Caenorhabditis elegans: one gene and its partners. The protein of the gene in region 2 interacts with the protein of the main gene of each other region in a pairwise test. Each region holds a gene or a part of one and is shown on either strand. Other genes may lie near its edges. The genes, in order: ceh-30, tbx-8, fkh-6 and sox-3.

Region 1 (5,170 bases), on a different chromosome or scaffold from region 2:
AGTTAGAGAGAGCAATTATATATTGTTAAGTCAAATGTTATAAATTGAAAAATGTAGCATGATAGTAATTCTTGAAAATTTTCTAATTTGAAAGGCATCAAAATATGTACTATCGACTATTTTTTCTAGGTTCACTTTAAAATTTAAAAGTTCACAAACTTTAATTTTATTATCAAGTTAACAACAAATTTGTATATATTCGCGCCTGTAGCAAGCATTTTAACTGAGATCGTGGCGAGACCCACTCAGAAAAACAATTTGTGCCTTTACTATGAATGTCAAAATTTTGCTAAATTACTACATATCATTTTTGAAAAAAAATTTTGGAAAATTTTTATTGCGAGAAATGTTTATTGTTACTGGTGAAAACTGAGTTCGATTCACACAAAAGTACCAAAATTTCCAATTTCTATTTGAAAGGTTTTATCATGATCTTTGGACATTTGAACACCATAGAAATAAGTTTTACTAATTTCTCCACATTTTTTGAAAAAGTGAGCTAGGAACCGTCTGTCAGGTAAAGGTATTTGTCGAACAGGTGAGGTGTTAACGACGCCTGCCAAGTATTCTATCTCACATATTTACCTCTTCCGTCGCGATAAAATCAGAACGGTTGCGCCACTCGCCAACACCTGGCGCTTCTGGCACGTCTTGTGTTCATTGTATTTTTGAATGCCCCACCATCTCCAGTTTTCTTATCAGATTTCGGAAATCGTCATCATCCACGAACAGCATAATAAAATAATAATATTATTATTAATGACGTGGAAATGACATAATCAAGCAAAATAAAAATAACACAAGCGATACATATGCAATGTTGTGAAAAAAAGAAAGCGTCTTCTCCCTATCTAACCCATTGAGATCGGTTTTTGTGACTTTAATTGAAAATATTACATACAAATTTTAAAAATTAACACAAGAAATACTATTCTGAGTTGCTGGAAACATCCAACTGAGGGGATTCACTGGATATGTGAGTGGATGGAGAATTTGAAGAGGAGGAAGGCTGGAAAGCATGGGCTGGGGGAACAATCATAGACATGGGTAGGCCCATCATCGGTAGCTGAGTGCCCATAGGTAAGGCTGTGATATAGTTGGCCCAATATGGACTGCTTCTGATCAAGTTCTGAACTGCGGAGAGGTTTCCAGGTTCCGATAGAAGATCCATTCCACTTGTTGCCTGTCGCTTCCATTTTGTTCTATAAAAAACATTAAGTAATTTGAGTAATTTGAATTGCCGTATTTTGTTCCACTAGACCGGACGTCTTCACTTTTCACATCTTAATTTTTGAGTGTCCCGTTATTGTAATAATGATGTTTTTATGTCGCAACTAGATATATTATATGTATTAACCACCACTTGACTATATTCGGATTAATTCAACGCTGCCGAACCTTGGGACCAAAAGCAGGTGATCTGCCTCTTAGCGGACTCATACGCCTCATTATTGTGCAAAAGAGCAGGAGACCACCCCGGCGATAACTACACAACAATAGCGACGTTTTGAAAGGTTTTCCAGATTGTGAATGCATGGATACATTTCAAAAGAGGCACAAATTCGTCTATCCACTTCATTCACCAATGAAACCGATACTAAAAGCTGGTGAAAATTTGATGATGACGACGATGATGATGCTCTGATGACAAGTCATCACATCAAATATTCACATAGAACACCGCCGCCTTGAACAATAATTAGGAAATGTGAGCGTGGTTGGTGTAGTAATCTACAAGGGTGGGCTCAATTGGCGGCTACGCTTGTTATTAATTTGAGAATGTACATATGTATGTTAAGAATTGACTCTGCTACCAACGATAATTCCAACGATAATTCCAACGATAATTGAAAGACGTTATTACTAACCTTCTATTTTGGTACCACGTCTTGACTTGAGTATCAGTGAGACCCATTCTGTGCGCCAAATCCATCCTGTCCTGGACTGATAGATACTTTTGCTTTTCAAATGTATTCTCCAACTCTTGCAACTGCTTGTCAGTGAAGATGGTTCTTGCCTTCCGAGATTTTTTGCAACTGCCTGGACTACCCATTCGATCGCCGCCGGGGCTGCTTGCTCTTGGCGAAGTTGAAAAATCAGATTTAATTGATTGTGGCGATGGGTCTGAAAGTTGATGGTTATTGATGCACAAAAAGAACAAAACAAAAGATTGACCCCGGAAGAGAACTGTATTCATATGTTCATTAAGGCATTAATCCTTTTACCCCCCCCCCCCCCTACATTCAAACTATCATTTCCGGGTAGTCACCATTGAGAGGAGAAAATCGAGAGCATGGTTGAGTAAATTTTTGATGGGTAACGCGCCGCGCACAAAACTTTTAATGGCTGTCGTTTTGAATGTTTGGAATTTTGGAATCAATTGCAGGTGTAATGACTTACCGTGATCGTTTGAATGGGATGAATTGTTTGGGGATTGCTCGAGAATGTCAGAAATGCGGAATGAAGAAGAAGACGAAATTTTGTTGCACGGGGAAGTTGAAGCTGCTTGAGCTAGAAGTGCTTGTGTAGTCGGATCCAGATAAAAAGCGGGAAGCAGAAACTGCCGAGGGTCGAGAAGTGACATTTTGGGAAGTGAGTGGTACTGTAGAAAAGTGTTAAACGAATGCTTTGCACGTTCGAAAGTCGGGAATGCGACACTGTTGAAGGCACCGATGATTGGTTATTGTCGGACGATGAGGGGTGACTATAAGACAAGTTAAATGTGCGAGAGTGGGCGGGGCGACGGCCTGGCAATTTGGGTGAGAGAAGAGGGTGCGTTGACATTGGGAAGGATGATGCAGCAGCAGCTACCACCACCGCCCTCCTAAACATGGTCATGACAATTACACTCGATTTTCGAGATCCAACGCCACATGAGAAGTCAATTATTTGTATTTAATAACACGAAATCTATAACTTGACCTTTCATTTTGCACATCTCAGATGATGCGGGGGAAAATGATGGCGAAAATGAGATGGGGGAAGATGGTTGGGAATAGCTGCACACTGCGGCTAATTGGAGCAACCTGTCAAACGGTGGTTCTAGGGAAACATTTGATGAATTGTCAAACTTGGAAATAAACAATATGGAATATTATTCTGCCAAAGCTGGATATCGAACTCTAATTTTCAGGTTGGTGCTCGAAATGTTAAAGTTTCATTTTCACAGTTTTTCACTTACTTGCAGAAAGACCATCTTACTAATCTCCATATATAAGCTTAGTCGGTTTGTTTTTCACAAAATCGACAAAAGGTTACTCAACGTATTTTTCGGCAAAAAAAAGTTATAGAAGTTACGGTAAATTTTTGTTACGAATCACGATTTCAGTAACCTGTAGAAATACGGTGATTGTTTTTTATTTAATTTCAAATAATTTCAATCATTGTTGTAAACACTCTGTTTCCTTTTTTTCTGAATGAATACATATTTTTGTCGCTTTTCTCAAATTAGTTCTGTTTATAGTTTCATTTTCCCCCAAAACACGTAATGTTGCAATAGAGTTTCAGAATAAGGCCACTTGCCGATATTATGAACAATCTTCGCTCTGTCCTTGAAACAATGCATTTTCACATCTTAACCAGACACAAAAATAATTTGAAACTGCAAAAAGCGTTAAAATCCCATATTCGGAGTGACAAAACCCATGTAATTAACATCCACCGATTCCTATATTTCGAAGAGAAATCTACTCTGAAGTGTCGATTAATTTTGCATACTAACCGTCAATTACAAAACAAATAAAATGGTTTTTTGTTTCGCGATTCCAAGCCGATTGGCATGGAAGGACATTCAGCTAATTTTCGACCGCCCAGCTATGTACATAGACATGTTTCAAAGTCATTGCGTTCCTCATTCCGCCAGCAGTTGTTTTATTTGATAGTTCACATAAATCATTCTCATTAGCTCTTTCTTCTACTTATATATTTGCTACCTTGGTAATGTTGAGAAACAAGATGATCGTTCCGTCCTTGTATATTTAGAAGAGGTGCAAAAAGCGGAGACACTTTCAACTCAACGTAGCGTAAAATATTGGGCGCGCAGGAAGATTGACTGGAAAACGATACAGTTACAAATTGAAAAATGGGAAGTTGAAAAAAAAAGGAAAATTGGAAGTGGAAATGAAAATGCATTAGAGATAATTGTCATTTGCCATTTCCCCCACTCTTAATTGTGAACATACATCTTGACACCCAGTAACAAGAAAAAAGCTGGCAATATGAATATGAGCTTGTTTAGGAGACAGAAGCCGCCTTTGAAATCTCCCGGGTAAGCAGGTTCTATTACATAATATCGTATCCTTTCCATACAGCTCATTACAATTGCCAACATAAATAATTAGATTAAAGGACACTCCCGGAAAGGTGTCGCAGACCGGTGGGACCAGCACACACGTGGCTGCTCTATTGTGTTCTGTTGCGCAATAGAGACGCTTCTTTTTTTTTGACAATGGCAATTGAGACCAGGTAAACGACTCCTTCAAGTGTGTGAAGCGGTGTTTATCAAAGCCACCCGGCAATTGTGTCCTTTTTAGGCACCTTTTTATGTGACATGTTGACTTATAGCTTGCACCGATCAGCGGCAGGTTAACGAATACAATTGATGGAACTGCCGGAAGTGTCAGGTTATGGATAAATTTGAAGAGTTATATAGATAGTTGGAAAGATAAAACGCTGCTTTGATAAACATGAAATTTATTTCAAAATTCTTATTACTTAAATATTAAACATATATTGGAACTCGTTTTGAAACCATAGTTTCTAAATTTATTCATTAACAAATTAACTTCTAACAGTGTTAGTATACACGTGGATTTATCTGTGAATTTTGGACAATTCACTGGATTCAATTTTGAACGTTCAGGCAAAAGGTTTAGTCATATTTAATCGTATTTTATAGTTCTCAACTCATATGTGACTGATGTGTTGTTTCTAAGCATTTTTTTATTTATATTGTTTTCAAATTGAAAATTTAATTTTTGCAGTGAAGATAATGTTTTTGCAAAACTAACTTCCTATTTATTCATTGCACAAAACACTTTTATAATCAAATTTTGTCTAAAGCACAATCATGATCATAATGGCGCTTTTTTCTAATTCTCTTTGGTCTTTGAAATTATAATATTTAACTTGACAATGCGGTTTAACTATACAATTAACTATACAATATACA
Region 2 (5,022 bases):
GCCATTATTGTGCAGGACATGCAACAATTTCAAAATTATCAGCCACCTACAAGCCGACTTACTCCTGCCTCGTGCCTACACGCGTGACTACTGCCTTCAAACCCCCTTAAGCATGCCTAAGAACATCAAAACATGCCTTACAAGATTTATTAGAGATAACCATGTCGGTGGTATTAAAAAGATCACGTCAAACGGAAGAAATAAAGAGAGAAGTCAATCAACGCAACAGCGGGATGCCTCTTCTAATCGGGTTGCATCGCGACATCGGCGATCCGGACAAGGCTGCCGAGTCGCAGCCTAAGCAGAGGTGCTCGTGGAATAAAATTTCTGAAAAAGCCAAGGATATCAGGTGGGCGATTAAAAACCTGCCTGCCCTTATAGGCGATAGGCAGGTATGTAGGCAAACTGAGGAGTTTGCTCCAAAATGCAGAAAGTAGACTATAAGAAGGTTACCTGAAGTCAATACTTAACATTTAATAAACTGAAAATTCTTACAAATGATCTGTCATATTTGAAATCCTGTAAAACATCTCTGAAGCTATTAAATTTTTGCAATTTAAGCTATTAAAATGTTGACCCAAAACTCCCTCCAAAGTTCCCAAAAACTATAACATGTCAAGTACATAAAATGTCCTTCCCTATCCATAACCTAATGATCACCTGTCAATTCTAGTTACCTAACAACATAAAACGCGTACCGCTCTTTCTCCTCCACCCAACAGTGCGCCAGACGGATCCCTTTACAACTCTCTGGTTGGTGATGATGTAATTTGGAGCCGCCGGCTCACCGCAATACTGTCGGAGCACAAAATTCAGGAAAATGATCCTGATTGAGAACATGGTGCATGCATTAACAGATAATTTGTTTTTGAAGGGAAAATCAATAATTATCTGGAGATTAGATATCTTGTTTTTAGAGATAGTTGTAAACAATGGCAAATTGTAAAACCACTTTAGATGAACCTGGAACTTTCGGGAAATCTGGCAACCGAGCTACAAACTACAAACTACAGAAAATCAATCTACAAATGTTTTTTTCAGTCAAGAACCGAGATATCAGTTGCACATGGTGCATCGAACACTAACAAGATTAATCAAAATTTGTCACGTCCAGTATATCCGTAGTAAAAGTGAGAATTAACCTCAATGATTTATCATCCTGCCCGTGTCCTTCTTCCCGTTTATCAATATTACCGTAGTGGTGATGGTGGTGGGGGCATCGAATATCGTCGTAAAATCGTCGTTAAACAAATTTTATGAACTCTATATACAAATCAAGCGTGTTATTATTGTTTGGTAGAAAGATTGGAAAACGATAAAGAGAGGTGAACAGGTTTCCTAAAATATCCCCCCGGAGATTCATTTCTAGCAAGTATTTGGAGAAAGATGAAGAGGGACTGCACAATATTTAAATCGTTGAACCAATAAAATAATAATCACAAACTTGGAGCATTTGGAGCATTCGATGACGATTTTCTAGAAACTGGGGAAGTTATGAGGTTTTTGGATTACATTTTTGATTGGAGTATCATGAACATTTTTTAGAACTCCTTAATAATAATTCTTCAAACGACAAAGAAGTTTCAACCAAAAAATTTGTCAAAAAGTGTTTCTAACAGAAATGAAAGTATGTAGAGAGAAAGTTGGGATAAAGTAGGTTGAGAAGTATCCCACATATCTCAAAAAATATTTGGTTTATCAAAAAGTTGTCAACTGACAAATAGTCGAGCAAAATGTCAATTGAAAATTCCCTCGTATTATTGATTTTTGGGAAGTTACAGCTGTTCAAACTTTTAATTTTGTCTATTTTCACCTTTGAAACTTATTCCTTCACACAATTCCCCTTTTTAGCATCCCGCCAAACATCGAAAAACCACGCCTACCAGTGTTATCGCTACCGTACCCCGCGGTCCGCCTTCGGGAAGGCAGGAGTGGGGCCGTGGCATCCAGGTGAGACCCCAGGCTCACTCTCAGCCACCAATCTGTTTAGTATTCACTTTTACGCGAATTTTCCAATTTACCAATATTTCAGTTTTTGCCCGTTTTGATTGAATCCTTATTATAATATGAAATTCCAGAGAAAAACCATGACAGATCAAGTGTATGTGACACTTCGAGAAGATCAGGATAAGCTGTGGAACCTCTTCCATTATCATAAAAACGAGATGATTGTCACAAAATCCGGCAGGAAAATGTTCCCGAAGCTTGAGTATGTGGTCAGAGGTCTCACGCCGAACAAGCTCTACGCTATGATGCTTCATATTGAGCCATCCGACGATCATCGGTACAAGTTCAGCAGTGGAGAATGGGTCAAGTCGGGAAAAGCCGAAAAGCACAGGGAGCCAAAGAAGTTGTGGCATGCGGATGGAGTTAGAAGTGGAAAGTGAGTTTTTTTTTGGAATGCTTTGTTAGTTGATCTTTTATTAGATAGCGCAGTCAGGGTTGGAGTACCTATTTTTCAGCAGGGAATCAGAAAATAATTTCAATTTAGAACTGTAATATCTCAAAGGAAAATAAAAATACAATAGTTGCTTACTGATGAAATGTTTATTATAAAATTTTCTACAGTTTTCCAATTGACAACTTTTTTGTAATGACTGTTTCAAGCAAGTTATAACTACTTAAAAATGTAACACATCGCCAACTTGAGCATGTTAACTTCAAACTGTTATAAAACTACGGGCGGTTTAAATATCAAATATCAAATCCTTTTCAAATAAATTATCTGATTTTCTGTATATCTCCCTATAGTAACTTTTTTCCAGAGAATGGATGACCAACCCAGTTTGCTTCGATCGTGTAAAAATCACAAATTGCGCTGAATCTACAAATGCATCAATGGTAACAGCCATAATTCTTTTCTCCTTCAACCTCAGCATTTCCCAATTTCTTCCAGATTTTCCTTCACAGCATGCACAAATACACACCAGTAATGTCAATCTACGAGTCCCCATCGGAGAGCCCATTCAGCGTCCCACAACCATCGACCCGTCTTGTCACTTCTGTTCGACTCACTTATACCGAATTTATTGCAGTTACAGCGTACCAGGTAACACTTGTTTGGGATCTAGATAACTTTGCCTATTGAGCCCGCATTAACACTTGCATTAACACGTGTGGCTCTCTATGAGCCACATCTTCTGAAGGGTGCGAACACTAATTGTTTGAGGGGTATTGTTTTGGGTTTTCTGTGAAGTGAAAGGGTTTGACACAAAACAAATAGAAGAAAAGGATATTTAAATAATTGTTGCAATTTTTTATTAGAAATTAAAGTAAAATGGGTAAATATATTAATATAAATTTTTAGTCTCATTCTTGATTTATTAAGATTTCCTCAAAAACCGTAAGAGAGCTATCATGAAATTTTTGACCTATAAAATGATGTATACTTTTCAAATCTGAAATAACTTTTCTCTTAATTGAAAATATTGAAAAAACACTCAAAAATTGTCTGAAAGCTGAAAATAGCTTGAAAAAAGTTTTGATAGTTTGCCGGCAGTTTTTTACCGTTTTTCCGATTGTTGCAACTGTCTCAGGCGGTTTTAAAGACCAACAGCAAATAATTAACTGCATTATTTAATCTACAATTTTTTATTTTCTTGAAAACAGCGAGGCATCTCAGAAAGTTGTCTTTTTTCCATGGCTCAATCAAAATGTAACTCTTAAATTCAAAAACTTCCAGAACGACGCAGTAATCAAGCTGAAAATCAAGTTCAACCCATTTGCCAAAGGATTCCGAGAGGGAAGCCAATCAGACAGAAAACGAAATTCTCCATCCGCCGACGACTCTACAACAGATGAAAGCTCATCTCAAGTCTCTTCTCCTCAGCCAAAAAAGTCACGAACCGTGTCAGTATCACCTCCATTGATGCCACGGATCCTTCCAACAATGATTCCACCACCACCAGCCATCAATCCCCTTTTCTACAGTCTCCCCTACTTTTCCCATTTGGCAGCCACCGGGAACTTCCCGCCTGTACCATTCCAATTCCCATTTGGACTTCCATGCTTCTCCCCAATGTCATTTCCAACACCTCCGCCATCTTTGAAAAATGTCAAGAAAGAAGAGCAAGAGGATATTGAGCAGGAAATCAATGTAGTTTAATTGCAAAATTTAATTATTAATTTTAAATTGTTATACTTTAGTTCGGGTCACATGATCACTTTTTCTGTTAATTTTTTCTGCATAGAAGATTTTTTGTTTCTGAATTTGGACATAATCAAATAAATTTTATACGGTGTAATTATCTTCCAGACAAGTAGGCAGGCAGGCAAAAATGCTCTTCTGCGGGCATTCACAAAAAATAGGTCTTCTATTGCCCATGCCAATTTTTTGAAAAAATAACTTTAACTTTAAAAACCAGTTTTTTTGCGGCCTTTAAAATTGAGCAATTTTTCCTTTAAAAAATTTCCAAAAAACACCATGGCCGAATTTGTATTTTTCGCGGCCACGAGACTTCAATTTTTCATGGCAATGTTTTAAGAAACTTTTATGGTTTTTACAGTTTAAATTTTTTCCACCATAGAGCATAACTTGCCACGTGGCCGAAAAAAAACGGTGGCGGAGTTTCTTCAATTGGTTCTTTCTGCCACCAAGACTAAATGCGGGGCCGAGGTTTCACACGTTCTAGGCCACGCAATTTCTTTTTTGAACTGTTTTTCTTCTTTCCGTTCCTTCAATTTTCTCCGTTATGGCCTAGACTTTCTTGTGAAAAACTATAGTTCTTTCAATTTTGAAATTGCGAAAAATCGGCAAAGTCGACCTGCTCAATATGATGACGTGGAAGATTCTGCATGAGAATTACACAGTGTGTCATCACCCCTCTTACACTTTTGTTCTCTCCCATCACAGCCTCCCATACACACAATTTCACTACAGTTTTGCTCCTCGCGCGGCTTGATTATCATTATGTTTATATGGTCAAAGCCGAGTTTGAAGTACGCCCGGGCGGCGAATTTGCATAACCCCACAGAGAGACAAAGTACTGTGTCGGTCATGTTCGATCAGTGGTTAACAGTACA
Region 3 (6,945 bases), on a different chromosome or scaffold from region 2:
TCGTGAAATGATCCGTCGTGTTCGTGTGGCTCTGAAGTATGTCTTCTCGCGTCAATTTCATCTTTATTTCCGATATTTCTTATTGAAAAAAAAAGATCATAATAATTCGTTCAGACACTCACACCCAATACATGCCGACGAGAAGAGCAATTTGATGCCGTCGCTGCTCGGCGCACCTAATAATCGTTTAAGAGTTGTCCTACTCTTTCTGTTCATTTTCTTTTTGTACGTCTGGAATCGTAGAGAAGCATCGTATTCTGATGAGATTCGGAGGAAGGATGAGCAAGTGGAAATGTTGCAGAAAGAGCACGCAAGTGCTCTCGAAAAGTTGAGGGGTAGGTCTTCTGAGTTTTTAAAAAATTATATATGTAGCTTAGAAAAAGTTCTAGTTAACATTGTTTACGTGGCCTAGAAAAATCTGAAGTTAGGCCATCAATCGATTTTCAGAAAATTCTGAATTTCCGTCAATTTATTTCTAAGAACATTCGAATTTCCCGCTAAAACTATTTCAATCAGATTTTTTAAATTTCTCGCAGAAAAATTTTCTCGAAAAAAATTAATTATTGGTCACAGTTTGATCTCAAAAAATTTGAACTTACTACAAATTTAGACTACAAATTTTTTGGACAAAATTTTACCAAAATTTTGTTCTCAGAGACTTAGATTTTCTTGCCAACTTTTATTTGGTAAATTTTAAATTCCGATTAATATTAGTTTTTGAAATAATAAGTACTATAAACTTAAGTTTATAAATAAAATTGATATCGGTGATTTTTTTTCTTCGAAAAACCCTCCAAATTGAGTAGATCTGCCATTAAAAAAAAACTGAAAAAAAAACACTTTAAAAGTCAAATCACTGTTTTTTTCTTTCAGTAATCTGGCTGCACAAAAAGAAGATCGAGGCTGAATTACAATCCCGCCACGCCGAATCAACCAAATTTTTAAGCAAAATTAAATTAAAAGAGTCAGAAATTTACGGGTTGAAGACAAAACAAGAAACGTGCCAGAAGGAGTTGACGGATTGTCAGGTAAGATTTGAAATTTTTTTAAAACCATAATTCATGTTTTATAGACTTTAAAAGAAGAGCCAAAAGAGCAAAAAAAAGAAAACAATAAAAACGATGAAAATTCGAAGAAAACAATCGAAAAATATGAACAAGAAATTGCGGGTCTCAAAGAGAAAATTGAAGGTTTGGAGGAGAAGGTGAAGAATAATTATTCGGATGAAAATTCTAGCTTGAAGGTAATCTGAAATTAATTACCAAAATATTTCAAAAAATTTATTCCAGGAGGAACTGAAACAGTGCGAAACGAGGATCAGGCAGTTGACAGGGGTAAGTTAAGATGAAGCTGGGAATTGTTGTCCATAACCATAGAGAGATGGGTCATCAAATGATAATCCCGTGAAAGTGGTTGTTGGTTGACAGGACCAATTGGTATAAGGGGGCATGAAGGCGTTTGGGTACATGTTGCTTGCAGTGGAGAGCAGTTGCTGGAATAAGTTTTAGGAGGGTTTTTGATTAGTTATGAAAATTCTAAAATTTAGAAAAAGTGGAGATAGGAGAAAAAGTGGAGATAGCATAATTTTTACCGACTTCAAAATTTCTCCATTAAGCTGCAAGAGTTAAAAAAAAAGTAGCATAAACTTTATTTAAAACATTTTTTGAAAATTTCAACTAACCTGTTGCTCGATACTCCTCGGATCAGTCATCTGAAGACTTGTCAAGAATGTTGTACTTGAAATCCCAGGGATCAATGGCTTCATATCAACTAGAACCTCCTCTTTGACAGTATCCGATGGTACAACTTCTACATCAGACACAACTGGTGGTGGTTGAGATGGAGCCACTAGATTTGTGTCGAAATGAGAAGTTGGAATTGGGAAGGCGCTTGTGTAAATTGAGGTATCAAATGATGACGATGAGGAAGAGGAGTTGTTGATTTGGGAGGTGTTGGCACTATCAGTGATGGAGTTGGGGTATTGGAACTGAAAAATTGAAAGTGTTAGATCTGCACCCCGATTGTGCTCTATTTTGACCGCTTATATCATGGTTGCCTGAAATTTTATCAAATAATTGTCATTATTTAAATGTAGAGAAATATTTTGCCCATATTTTGTCAACTGACAATTTTTGATAACAACAAAGGGAGTCAAGATATAAGCTGTCAAAGTAGACCAAGGCATGGAGTCCACTTTTTGGGCTTTTTTGGTAGGCAGGCACGCCTTCAGGCGTACTTACCTACTTTATATTTTTCTGCCTATGCCTGCCTATGATCTAAAATTTACAAGCAGGCATAGTTGTCTTTGTGAAATATTTGCACAGTTCGCTAATTTCTTTAAGATCTTTTTGAGATTGGCACAGTTTCCTCGGAGTTTTGAGTATTTTCATGAAAGTTTTTTTTGGAAAAACAATTATTAATAAAATTATTTTTAATTGGGAATATAAAGCAACTTTGCTTCATTTTATAAGAGTTGTAACGAAAATTTCACAACTAACTAGTAAGGACTCTGGGGCTAAACGATAAGCTTACTACAGATTCACCAATATTTTTAGTACAATTTCGTAAATTTGTTGCCTGTTCGAATTTTTCATGGGGCGTTAGCGTTCAGATTCCCGAAAATCTTCACTGGGCAATTATTTACCTTAAAAAACTGGAAAGGATCCATAGTTTGAATATTCTGTGGCCACTTCAACCCGTTGAAAAACGGAAGCTGTTGCTGTAGAATGGTCCCTGTTTCAGTAGTTTCCGTCGTATTCGCATAACCCATTTTTCCGATTCCAAGTCTTTTGACACGTCTGTAAATACATGAACAAATAGTCATTTTTCACGAGTGTATAATAATAATAATCCTCTTGTCACTATCCATACCTTCTCTTAAAGTTGCCGTTGTCAAACTGAGGCGCATTGTCCGCCACCATTTGCCAATAGTTGCCCTTTCTGTCGTTCGCGCAGCTTTGTCCGTCTCGTGCTTTTTTGACAAAGCAGTCGTTGAGTGACAGATTGTGTCGAATACTGTTCTGCCATCCCTGTTTTCGTTTCGCGTCCGCGTCACGGTAATATGGGAATTTGGCCTCGATGAACTGAAACACACATCATCGGTTTTGTTTGCGCCTGATAGGAAACTAACATACTTTGAAAGGTTATATCTCGGTTCATAATAAAGATATCAATGAATGATCAACTACAAACCTATAGAAAAATAACCAAAAAATATTTGGCTGGTAGACAATTTTTGTTTAGGACAAACGAGAGCTGAGATATTAACTGTCAAAGTTGAATACTAAGGTTTTTGGGTCTTGACACGAAGAAGGTCTATATATATATATATTGACATTGTTATTGACTTGTAGGAGAGAGGAAAAGTTGTTCACTGTGTAAATGTTATGGGAGAGGCACAGGGTGCCCCCCACACCAAATTAGTCAGATCTATTAAGGTTGATGAGTCAAAACGGAAGAGTGGAAGTGGTGGGTTACGGTAGATGTGCTGGCTAGTGAGTTGGGTTTTCCAGAGTTAGATTGAACTGAACATTACTAGATCACTTGTGACAGGGTTACGGTAGGGCAGGGCTAGGTGGAAAAAAAAAGCAACCAACTGAATATCACAACAAAAATATCAATGTATGAAACTTACTGTACGAAAATGTGATATGGGAAAGATGATGTAGAACCTTAAGAACTTTTTTTCGAATTTCGTTTTTTTTGTAGCAATAAGGAGCAGATTAATTTTACTGCTATATAATCGTGTTAGAAAATCTCCAAAATAACAGATATTTTGAGGCTTTTCTAGTAATTTCAAAACAATTTAAAGTACAAAAAATATAGGGAGAATCTCCGGAGAAGTGACGAATATTTTTCTGGATTTTTAAATGAAGTATATGTCATTACAAGATGATCGCCAAATTTTTCGCTTCAAAGGAGCATTTTGAACTAGAAAATGTTTCATTAAATGGCTCGGCTTGATCAGTTTTATATGACTAAATAGACTCCGATGATTCAAGTTTTCAAATAATTGAAATTTACAAAAAAATCTTTCAAACGTTTGCCTATACCTGAAAAACTTAAAAGAAGATAAAAATCGGATTTGGAACAATTTCAGCAGCCTCGAAGTTAGTGTAAAGTGAGATAAAAATTCTCAGAAAAAAAGTAATTTTTAAAGTTTTGGAATTGAATTTCGTAGATCTATTTTTGCAGGAATAACTGAAAGTTCTAGCACATATTTTAATACTCAATATGACGTCCAAAAAAAACTGGAATATTCCGCTAACATTGTGAAAAATTTGCTCAAAAATTCTTCAAAATTTGAATTGCCGCACCAGTTTTGGGTTTTTAAAATGGTATTTTTCCGCAAAAAAGTATTTAGTTTTAGCAAAATTTTCATGATAATTCCTCCAAAACCGCTATACCAAAAAAACGTTATCGAAAAGCTTCCCGTTACCTTGTAAATCTGATTCAACGTCATTCTCTTATCCGGCGAAGCATCGATTGCCATTGCAATAAGTGCAACGTAACTGTATGGCGGCTTGTCAATCGAATTTCCCTCTTGACTGGAAAGAGCTCTTTTATTTTCAAAACTTTGCCTCTAACAGAATTTTGCAACGGGGATTTTGTATTTAGAGAAGAAGAAAAAGAAAATATGTTTCCCCTCTCTCTCTCCCTCTCTAAAAACAATAATAAATAAATAAAATAAATAAATACATAACTTACACAATATGAAATGGAAGATGTGTTTGATGGCGAGTCATGATTATTGTATTTTTTTATGGTAGGGGGTGTCAAATGAGACAACGGATTATGCAGAAGCTAAGAGTGAGGGCGGGGTCTCGGAACTGTGAAGACGGAGGTGTGGGTGGAGGGAAAGAAATGGAAGAAGATTGTGCACACTGTCTCCTTCTCCCCCCTGTGTGCTCCTGACATTTTCTGGTGCTGATTCACTGGTAAAAGGGAAACAGAAACATCCAATCTGATCATCTCTTACTTTTTATATTTTGTAAATAAACGAAAAATCGAAAGGGAGAACACGACGACGATTGGAGAATATTTGTATTACAACACAAAATTACACACAACTTTTTACAGGGAGGAGCCATCGAGCATTACTCGCAAAATGAGACGGCACATTTCAGCAGGAATCAGAAGGTTTGTGCTTCTTTTTGTTGTACACAGTACTCCCGTTACAGTAATCTGGAATTATTCTGAAAATTTTGCGATTTTTTAATCCTTAACTTGACCATATTTTTTGACTTTCCAGCGACTTTTAGTCACCTTTCATTCATTGTATTTTTTCTACTAGACTTCCAGGCACTTTCCTTTACTTTGACAGCGTATATCTCAGCTCTTTTTGATTTTATCAAAAATTATTAACTGGCAAAGTACTCCCAAAATAATTCTCTACATTTTATTAGTTTATCATTTTTTGTTAAAATCTAAGTGAACCAAGACATAAGTCGTCAAAGTGGAGCAATGTCGGCGCAAGGCTAATAGGGAAAATTGGCAAAATAGTAGATCAAAATGATTTCCAATTTTTTTTTTCAAACTTCTGAAAAACAAATTTGTTTTAAAATTAATGATTATAAACCACAAGTATCGTTTTTTTTTTAATTTAAATTTAATTTCATTAAAAACTGGATTTTTTTAACTTTTTAAATTTCCAGCCACATTTTTGGGCATTGTTTTCTGTAGCCTCGAAAAGTGAATAGAAGTGCCTGGATCGACCAAAATAATTTGAAATATTTGTTTTAATGCTAAAACGGTCAATTCAGACAAAACTAGCCATTTTCCAAAGCATCAGAAAAATTTAGAAACAAATTTAGAAAACTTGAAAATTTTTGATTGCAAAATTTTCGATTTTTTCGAAAAAAAAAAGATTTTTATCAATAATAATTTCCCTCAAGAAAGTGATTTTAAAAATGGTTGTTTAAAATAATTCACCACATAATCAGAATTTCAAATATTCAAACAATTTCCAAAATTGGATATTTTTCATAGATAGTTCTATTTTTTCACACTTTCAATTTTTCTCTGTGTAGTTTCAGAATCACAAGATATTTTCCCATTTGAAACGAAAACATATCACTTTAAATAAATCACCTGAATATTTGCCACTGTTTTGCTTATCTGTCTGACTTTCTCTTATCAACAAATTGTTTCAAACTTTTTGATCAAAGGTCTTGCTTGTTTCTATTTTTACTTACTCCCTGTATTTCTTTTCACATGAGTCTACAAGAGAGAAAAAAGTAGCCGTCATAAGGGTCAACTAACTACTCCATTTTCAGGCTGATGAACCATTGTTCTTCGATCGAGGTAACATTCAACATCACATCCCGCAAAAGTTGTTATTGGGACGAGAATTGGTGCAGACACTGGAAGAGGCAAAAGTGAAAAAGTTGGAGGAGAGAGAACAAATGGACAAGCATCCACAGGATCGCGATAATAAAGGTGACATTTTGACTGGAAATTTATTTTTTTCTTTGGGTTACTGTAGCTGAAAAAATCTGAAATTTGTCGTGGACGTGTTAAAAAAAAATCCCAAAAATAGAAGCTACCAAAAAATATTAAAATGAAAAAACTGAAATACGAAAACAGACAGTGTGCATGCTAAAAAAGTGTGGTAGGTAAATTGGTAGGCAGGCAGATGTATGACAGAACGGCACATTTGATTACGTACCTACCTGCCTAACTAGAAATATGCCTACCTACGTGAAAATGTGCCTACCATTCTGTTACCGCACCTCCCACTTAGTAACTTATCCACCTATTTCTACCTAGCCTATTATGTACCTACCTACTTACTATCATGACAATCTATACTTGAATACGGGAGTACCGACCTATTTGGTAACGCGCCTACCTAAACAACATGCCCACCTACTGATAACGTGCTAACCTACCTGGTGACGTACCTACCGACCTGAAGATTTGCCTACCTGTTTAGAAACGCGCCTA
Region 4 (5,237 bases), on a different chromosome or scaffold from region 2:
CAACAAATTGGCTTATAATCTGCACAAAACCTTCGCGCGAGCAATCATCAAATTAACTGTTTAATCCATCACAGCTCTTCTCCTCTTTATTAACTCGTGTCCTCCAGAAGTGTTCTGAAGTGCTGGTAGTGTGGTGGGTGCCTTCGGGCGGTGTGCTGGAGAAGTGAGAGAAGAGAGGGGGATGGAGGGGCCGAAAACGAAGTTATCGCAAATTTACATTGTAGAAAGGAACCATTTTCAAGCGTGCTGGACCTCGGATCCGCCAGCTTTGTCTTTCCCATTTTTCCCTTTCTTTTCTCAATTCTTGTAAAAATAATAGTTTTTGTCATGTGAAGTGTATTGTTTTTTGTGTGAGTAGCTAATGTTTACAGGAGAGGGGTACTGTAGAATTTCAAGGTACAGGGTGAGGTACGGAGGTAATGAGTACAGAGAAAATGTAGTCTAGAACGTGAAACATTACACATTTTCCAGTTAGAGGTACAATAAGGGACTCAGTTCTCATATACATATGCCTCATAACTCATATACATATGCTTGAAAATTAAAAATAGGATAACAGTATTTAAGCATGAGCATATGCCTTATAATGCTATAATTTCCAAATATCACTGTAAAACGTTTTATATATACACAGTCAAAAAGCTTTTACCTATCATAATTTTGAAGTCGACCAAAAAACTTTTTCACTAGGAGTAGTATATTTTAATTTTTTTCCAATTGTTTTTAATAGTAGTTCAAACAAGCGGCAATACTCTAAGTACCTTGAAGCCCAAATTTTTCATATATTAAACAATTTACCAAAATTTGATTGCAAAGTTTGTTAAATCTAAAGTTTTCAATTTTTTCCTATAACATTCAATCACGTTGGATTATCTTAAGTTTATCCATACTAAAGATACTCTACATATTTATTAAAATTTCAAATTGATTTTGAAAGTTTTGATACATCATTTAGGTATTTAAAAAATCTAGTTTTATAGATTTTATATATAAGTTTCTGAATACGTTCAGGTAACAATTTAAAAATTTGTTGAGCTCAAAAACATAATTGTGCTGGAAACCATAAAAATTTTGAAATGGATTTAAATTAAGGATTTAACACGTTTGCAATTTTTTGAAATTTCTTGCCTTGCGTCCCGTCCAACTCTGTTCGGAGAGGGGTCGGAAGTGAACAATCAACATTCTAAACAGAACACGAATTTACACATTTTCAACATTAAATATTGTGCCCCATCGTCCATCGTCAACCGTCACTTTTCACCTAACTTTCCTCTGTAAAAAGTTCGATCTAAAACATTGTATCATCCAAAGTATCAGCACGATGTGTTTGTTAGCACAGTGTCATATGATGTCGAATAAGAATTCATGGAAAAAAAAAACGTGTTTGGTTTTTCTTGTATTCGTTTTTGAAAATGCTCAAACTAGGTATTCAGTGTTCCGTTATTATTAGAAAAGTCGTTTTGCTTCACTGAACTAAACTAACTAGGAACTCTTGAATAACTTTTGAAATATTGAGAATTTGCAAAATTAGTTCACAGTTCATGCTTGACTTCATTCACCTTCCTACGAGTTCTTGCAATCATTATATCAGCGTAAGTTGCTATTTCAGTAGGGTCACATAGGAGCCATCTTGAGTATCAATTTCGATTACCGTATTTCCTCGCAACTCATTTTGGCTCCGCCTACTGTCTCTCGTCTATTTGTGCGCCGCCTCTTGTTGGCCACTGAGACGAGGGAGGACACGCATAATATAGCACGCGTCTGTCTCTCTTTCTTTTTTTTTTCGGAAATTTACCATTTCCTCATTCAGGTTTTCTTTTCTCTCTTACGTTTATTTTATGAGTAGGGTTTCCAGTTCTCGGTTTCTAGTTTCTTGTTTTCAAATTATTTCCAAAGTTTTCCCGAAATTATTTGTATTTGGTATTAATTTTTTCAAAAGTTTTGTTAGCATACATTGTCTTTCAGCGGTATGACTGACCTCTCTTGTCTGTATCCTTCACTTTTATGCACTGAAGCTGCAAAAACATCTTATGACGAAGACACAACGTCTGTTTCATCTGGTTTAAGCCCTCCGGGCTCTCCAGTCGATCTACAAAACTCGCTGGATCATGTGAAACGGCCGATGAATGCATTTATGGTTTGGAGCAGAGGACAGAGAAGGAAAATGGCACAGGTGCATTTTAAATATTTAAATTTTTTAGGTTATTATGTAAGTAAGTAATTTATTCAGGATAATCCAAAAATGCACAATTCCGAAATAAGTAAACGGTTGGGTGCAGAATGGAAACAGCTATCAGAGCAGGAAAAACGACCATTTATTGATGAAGCAAAACGGCTCAGAGCTTTACATATGAAGGTAGTTTAATTACATTTTTCAATAGTTATATTATTAATTTCTATACTCAGGAGCACCCAGACTACAAATACCGTCCACGAAGAAAGCCAAAATCCTCCAATCTGAAGCAACAACCTCGTTTGAACATCGCCATGCCAACCATCCCGCCACAATCACTTTTCAACTATTCCACAGCATTCGACTCATTGAAAACCCATGACCTCTCCCAATACTACTCATCATTCTTCCAATCGCCCGTATTATCCGGCTCAACCTATGCTCCATACAATATGATGGCTGCTTATGCGAGACAAGCTGCAGCCGTGGCTGCTGCAAGTCAAGTGTCGGCTTCAACAACGCCAACAGCTCCTGCCACGTAACTTGCTGAATTGTCATGTACGTTACACTTTTTTTTGAATTGTTTAATAAGGTATAGGTATTTTGAATTAACAGAAAAGAGAAATGTTGATCTTTGAAGAGCCACATAAGAGTAAAAAATGTATCATAACAATATATTAGTCATTTCTGTATTTCTAAAATTTCTAGAAAAAGTCTTATATATGTGTTATTGACATTCAAAACTTTGAAACAAATTAATCGGTGTAGCTGAAATCCCAAACTACCGCAATCCCATATTACAGTAGTTGATTCCATTTTTGTTTTATTTTTAAAAAAAGTTACAGTCGATAAATACACAAATGTGTTGCTTATTTTTGTGAGCTTATCGACAAAAAATAAGTCAGCGGCTGTAATGAACAAGCTACCCAAATTTGAAAATATTTTATTTGAGGCTTTCCATATCAAAACTTGAATACGCAATAATAATTTTTGAAAAGTTTTAACATTAAAATTTAGTAGTTTAGGCTCACAATATTTGAGAAATTTTGAAATTTTTACTTTTAAAGATTAAGTTAATTTTAACGGTAGGCAAAGCTTTTGGGAAGAATATATCTTACGGTTTTTGTTGGCTTGATGTTCCGTTGAACTTCTAGTTGACGTTTTGCTCTTAATTCTTATCTAGTCTTGTTTCAAACTATACAAATCGCCCAACAATTTACTACACTTCAATTTTCAAATATCAACTTTCCCACAAGTCATTCATTCCTTTTCTTCCGCTATAAAGACATTAGGTGGTCGGTCACTTGTTTCCGACCGAAATCGGTTCATAACCATAAGAAACGCGTCCAAGTGTAAAACCCTCCTTTCCCCCTTCTCTTTTTGAATTAACACCACCACTAAATTCGACTCCCGCCAATTTGTGTATTGTGCACCTCGCGCACTTCCGGTTACACACGGTTACATTGTTCCATGCCAAATTCTTATTATTTTCACTTGAAGTGTATCGGTTTGATTTTTTCCAACACACAAAAAATGAATGAATGAAAAGGTGTGAGTGTATCATGCGCGAATAAGTCGAATAAGTCGCGCGCTTTGTGTTGAAATGTACTGTTTACTGAATGATTGACATATGTGTGCAGTTTAGATTTGAAGATGAGCAATGATTCCATTTTCTTATCGCTTTCGGAGAAAAGACAATAAAAATGACTCAGAATAATGATGAATAGTCTATATGTGTTTGGGAATTGTGTTTTACTTTGTATTTTAAACTACCATCTGATTTTCAGGTTTGCTCAATACCATGCTTCACCTTCAATGAGCAGAATCTCCCTACAAATGCCATACAGACAAATTGATTCTAATTTTTCGATAATTTTGATTCGAATGTGCTATGTGCAACCTACCTGTACTTTTCTATTTTGCTGTATCTTCCATAAATGAAATATAAAATTTTGTGAAGAAATAACTACAAACTTTGGGTTTTATCAATTTTATCTATTTGTCAGCTGCACTCAAAAGCTCATCACCAGGATACGGTATTTTTTTTAACGGTTGTTCAAAGTGTGCCTGCCGCAAAAGTGTACAAGAATAAATAGGCGCCCAATGTAATGTTAGTATTCAATTTTTGCGACTTCTATTGTACAACAAATTCAATACAATAGATTGAATTGTTCAAGAACAAACTTCCAATTCATTGTTGGTTGAAACGAATGAATAGAATCAAGGAAGGAAAGAAGGTATTCAACAACTTTTACTCCTCTCTCCTTTATTTTCACCCCCACTGTCCCTTGCCATTGATATTTACCATTTGCTGTCCCCTGTCACCTCCTCTGTCATTGACGACCGATACCCCCATGGAGTTACATTTTTTTTTTCGTTGAGGTTGCCTGAACAAAGAGAACAATGTCCGCACTTAAAACGCCTAATCAAATCGGTTCACACGCTGAGAAAAAAGTTGAGGGAAGTCTAAACCATTTCATGGTCATTTGTTAGATGGAAATTTATAGAAACAGGTCATGTTGCGAGAATTTTTCGACCTTAAGTTAATACTCAATTTATCTAAGTTGAAACATAAGATTTATAACTGCTTATGACATAATAATGAGCAACTTGAACATGACGCTACAGTATTTTTACCATTAAACAAAAATTAACAAGTGCTCCAGTGAATCCACGACTTATAATTTGGTCTTATCCAAACCTAGTCAAACCTGGCTATGTGAACATCAAAACTTGAACTTCCTCTTTCGAGAACGACACATCATTTAAAACTTTTTCAAGCGTTACTTTACAAGCATGAAAATATAATTAATTTTTGAAAACACGACAGAAGCACTATATGGTTGAACTTACTGTGGACGCCTATGTACTATGCACATTAAATGTAATTTTGAAACTGATAAATTTAATGTTTAAAAAAATCTCATGGGTCAGGTGGGCGTTAGATGTTTCAATATTTTGCTCTTTTTCGCTCAATTTTTGAGATATCAGGATAAGCTTGTAGATACAAAGATTTATTGGTATGCTGAATCCAATTCCGATATTAGTTTCCCATGAAAAAAGT

What was found.
Region 1: the proteins of tbx-8 (region 2) and ceh-30 interact in a two-hybrid assay, tested with the Caenorhabditis elegans proteins (one large-scale study listed by BioGRID).
Region 3: the proteins of tbx-8 (region 2) and fkh-6 interact in a two-hybrid assay, tested with the Caenorhabditis elegans proteins (one large-scale study listed by BioGRID).
Region 4: the proteins of tbx-8 (region 2) and sox-3 interact in a two-hybrid assay, tested with the Caenorhabditis elegans proteins (one large-scale study listed by BioGRID).

The regions. Positions count from the first base shown.
Region 1 is NC_003284.9:3,061,120-3,066,289, reverse strand, and holds ceh-30 (Homeobox protein ceh-30), read right to left. Parts: upstream 2,717-5,170; 5' UTR 2,585-2,716; coding exon 2,401-2,584; intron 2,125-2,400; coding exon 1,869-2,124; exon of another isoform or gene 1,664-1,868; intron 1,556-1,663; exon of another isoform or gene 1,406-1,555; intron 1,403-1,405; exon of another isoform or gene 1,257-1,402; intron 1,203-1,256; coding exon 929-1,202; 3' UTR 739-928; downstream 1-738.
Region 2 is NC_003281.10:10,345,497-10,350,518, forward strand, and holds tbx-8 (T-box transcription factor tbx-8), read left to right. Parts: upstream 1-2,078; 5' UTR 2,079-2,087; coding exon 2,088-2,383; intron 2,384-2,765; coding exon 2,766-2,841; intron 2,842-2,896; coding exon 2,897-3,049; intron 3,050-3,682; coding exon 3,683-4,105; 3' UTR 4,106-4,244; downstream 4,245-5,022. UniProt on the Caenorhabditis elegans protein: Transcription factor. Involved in the control of early morphogenesis of the intestine, hypodermis and body-wall muscle. Involved in regulating expression of vab-7. Appears to have partially redundant function to tbx-9.
Region 3 is NC_003280.10:4,378,544-4,385,488, forward strand, and holds fkh-6 (Forkhead transcription factor fkh-6), read right to left. Parts: upstream 4,864-6,945; 5' UTR 4,746-4,863; coding exon 4,708-4,745; intron 4,548-4,707; coding exon 4,439-4,547; intron 3,084-4,438; coding exon 2,872-3,083; intron 2,799-2,871; coding exon 2,645-2,798; intron 1,988-2,644; coding exon 1,682-1,987; intron 1,493-1,681; coding exon 1,340-1,492; 3' UTR 1,335-1,339; coding exon of another isoform or gene 1,290-1,334; 3' UTR 1,244-1,289; coding exon of another isoform or gene 1,073-1,243; 3' UTR 1,042-1,072; downstream 1-1,041. Other genes in the region: B0286.1 (uncharacterized protein), read left to right, coding at 293-335, 874-1,028, 1,073-1,243, 1,290-1,334, 5,080-5,139, 6,276-6,438. UniProt on the Caenorhabditis elegans protein: Probable transcription factor. Binds to the DNA sequence motif 5'-[TA]TGTT[TG]T[TG][ATG]TT-3'.
Region 4 is NC_003284.9:14,689,728-14,694,964, reverse strand, and holds sox-3 (Transcription factor sox-3), read left to right. Parts: upstream 1-1,965; 5' UTR 1,966-1,969; coding exon 1,970-2,173; intron 2,174-2,230; coding exon 2,231-2,356; intron 2,357-2,406; coding exon 2,407-2,715; 3' UTR 2,716-2,731; intron 2,732-3,960; 3' UTR 3,961-4,135; downstream 4,136-5,237. UniProt on the Caenorhabditis elegans protein: Probable transcription factor. Involved in the terminal differentiation of some neuronal cell types. Dispensable for neuronal fate commitment during embryogenesis.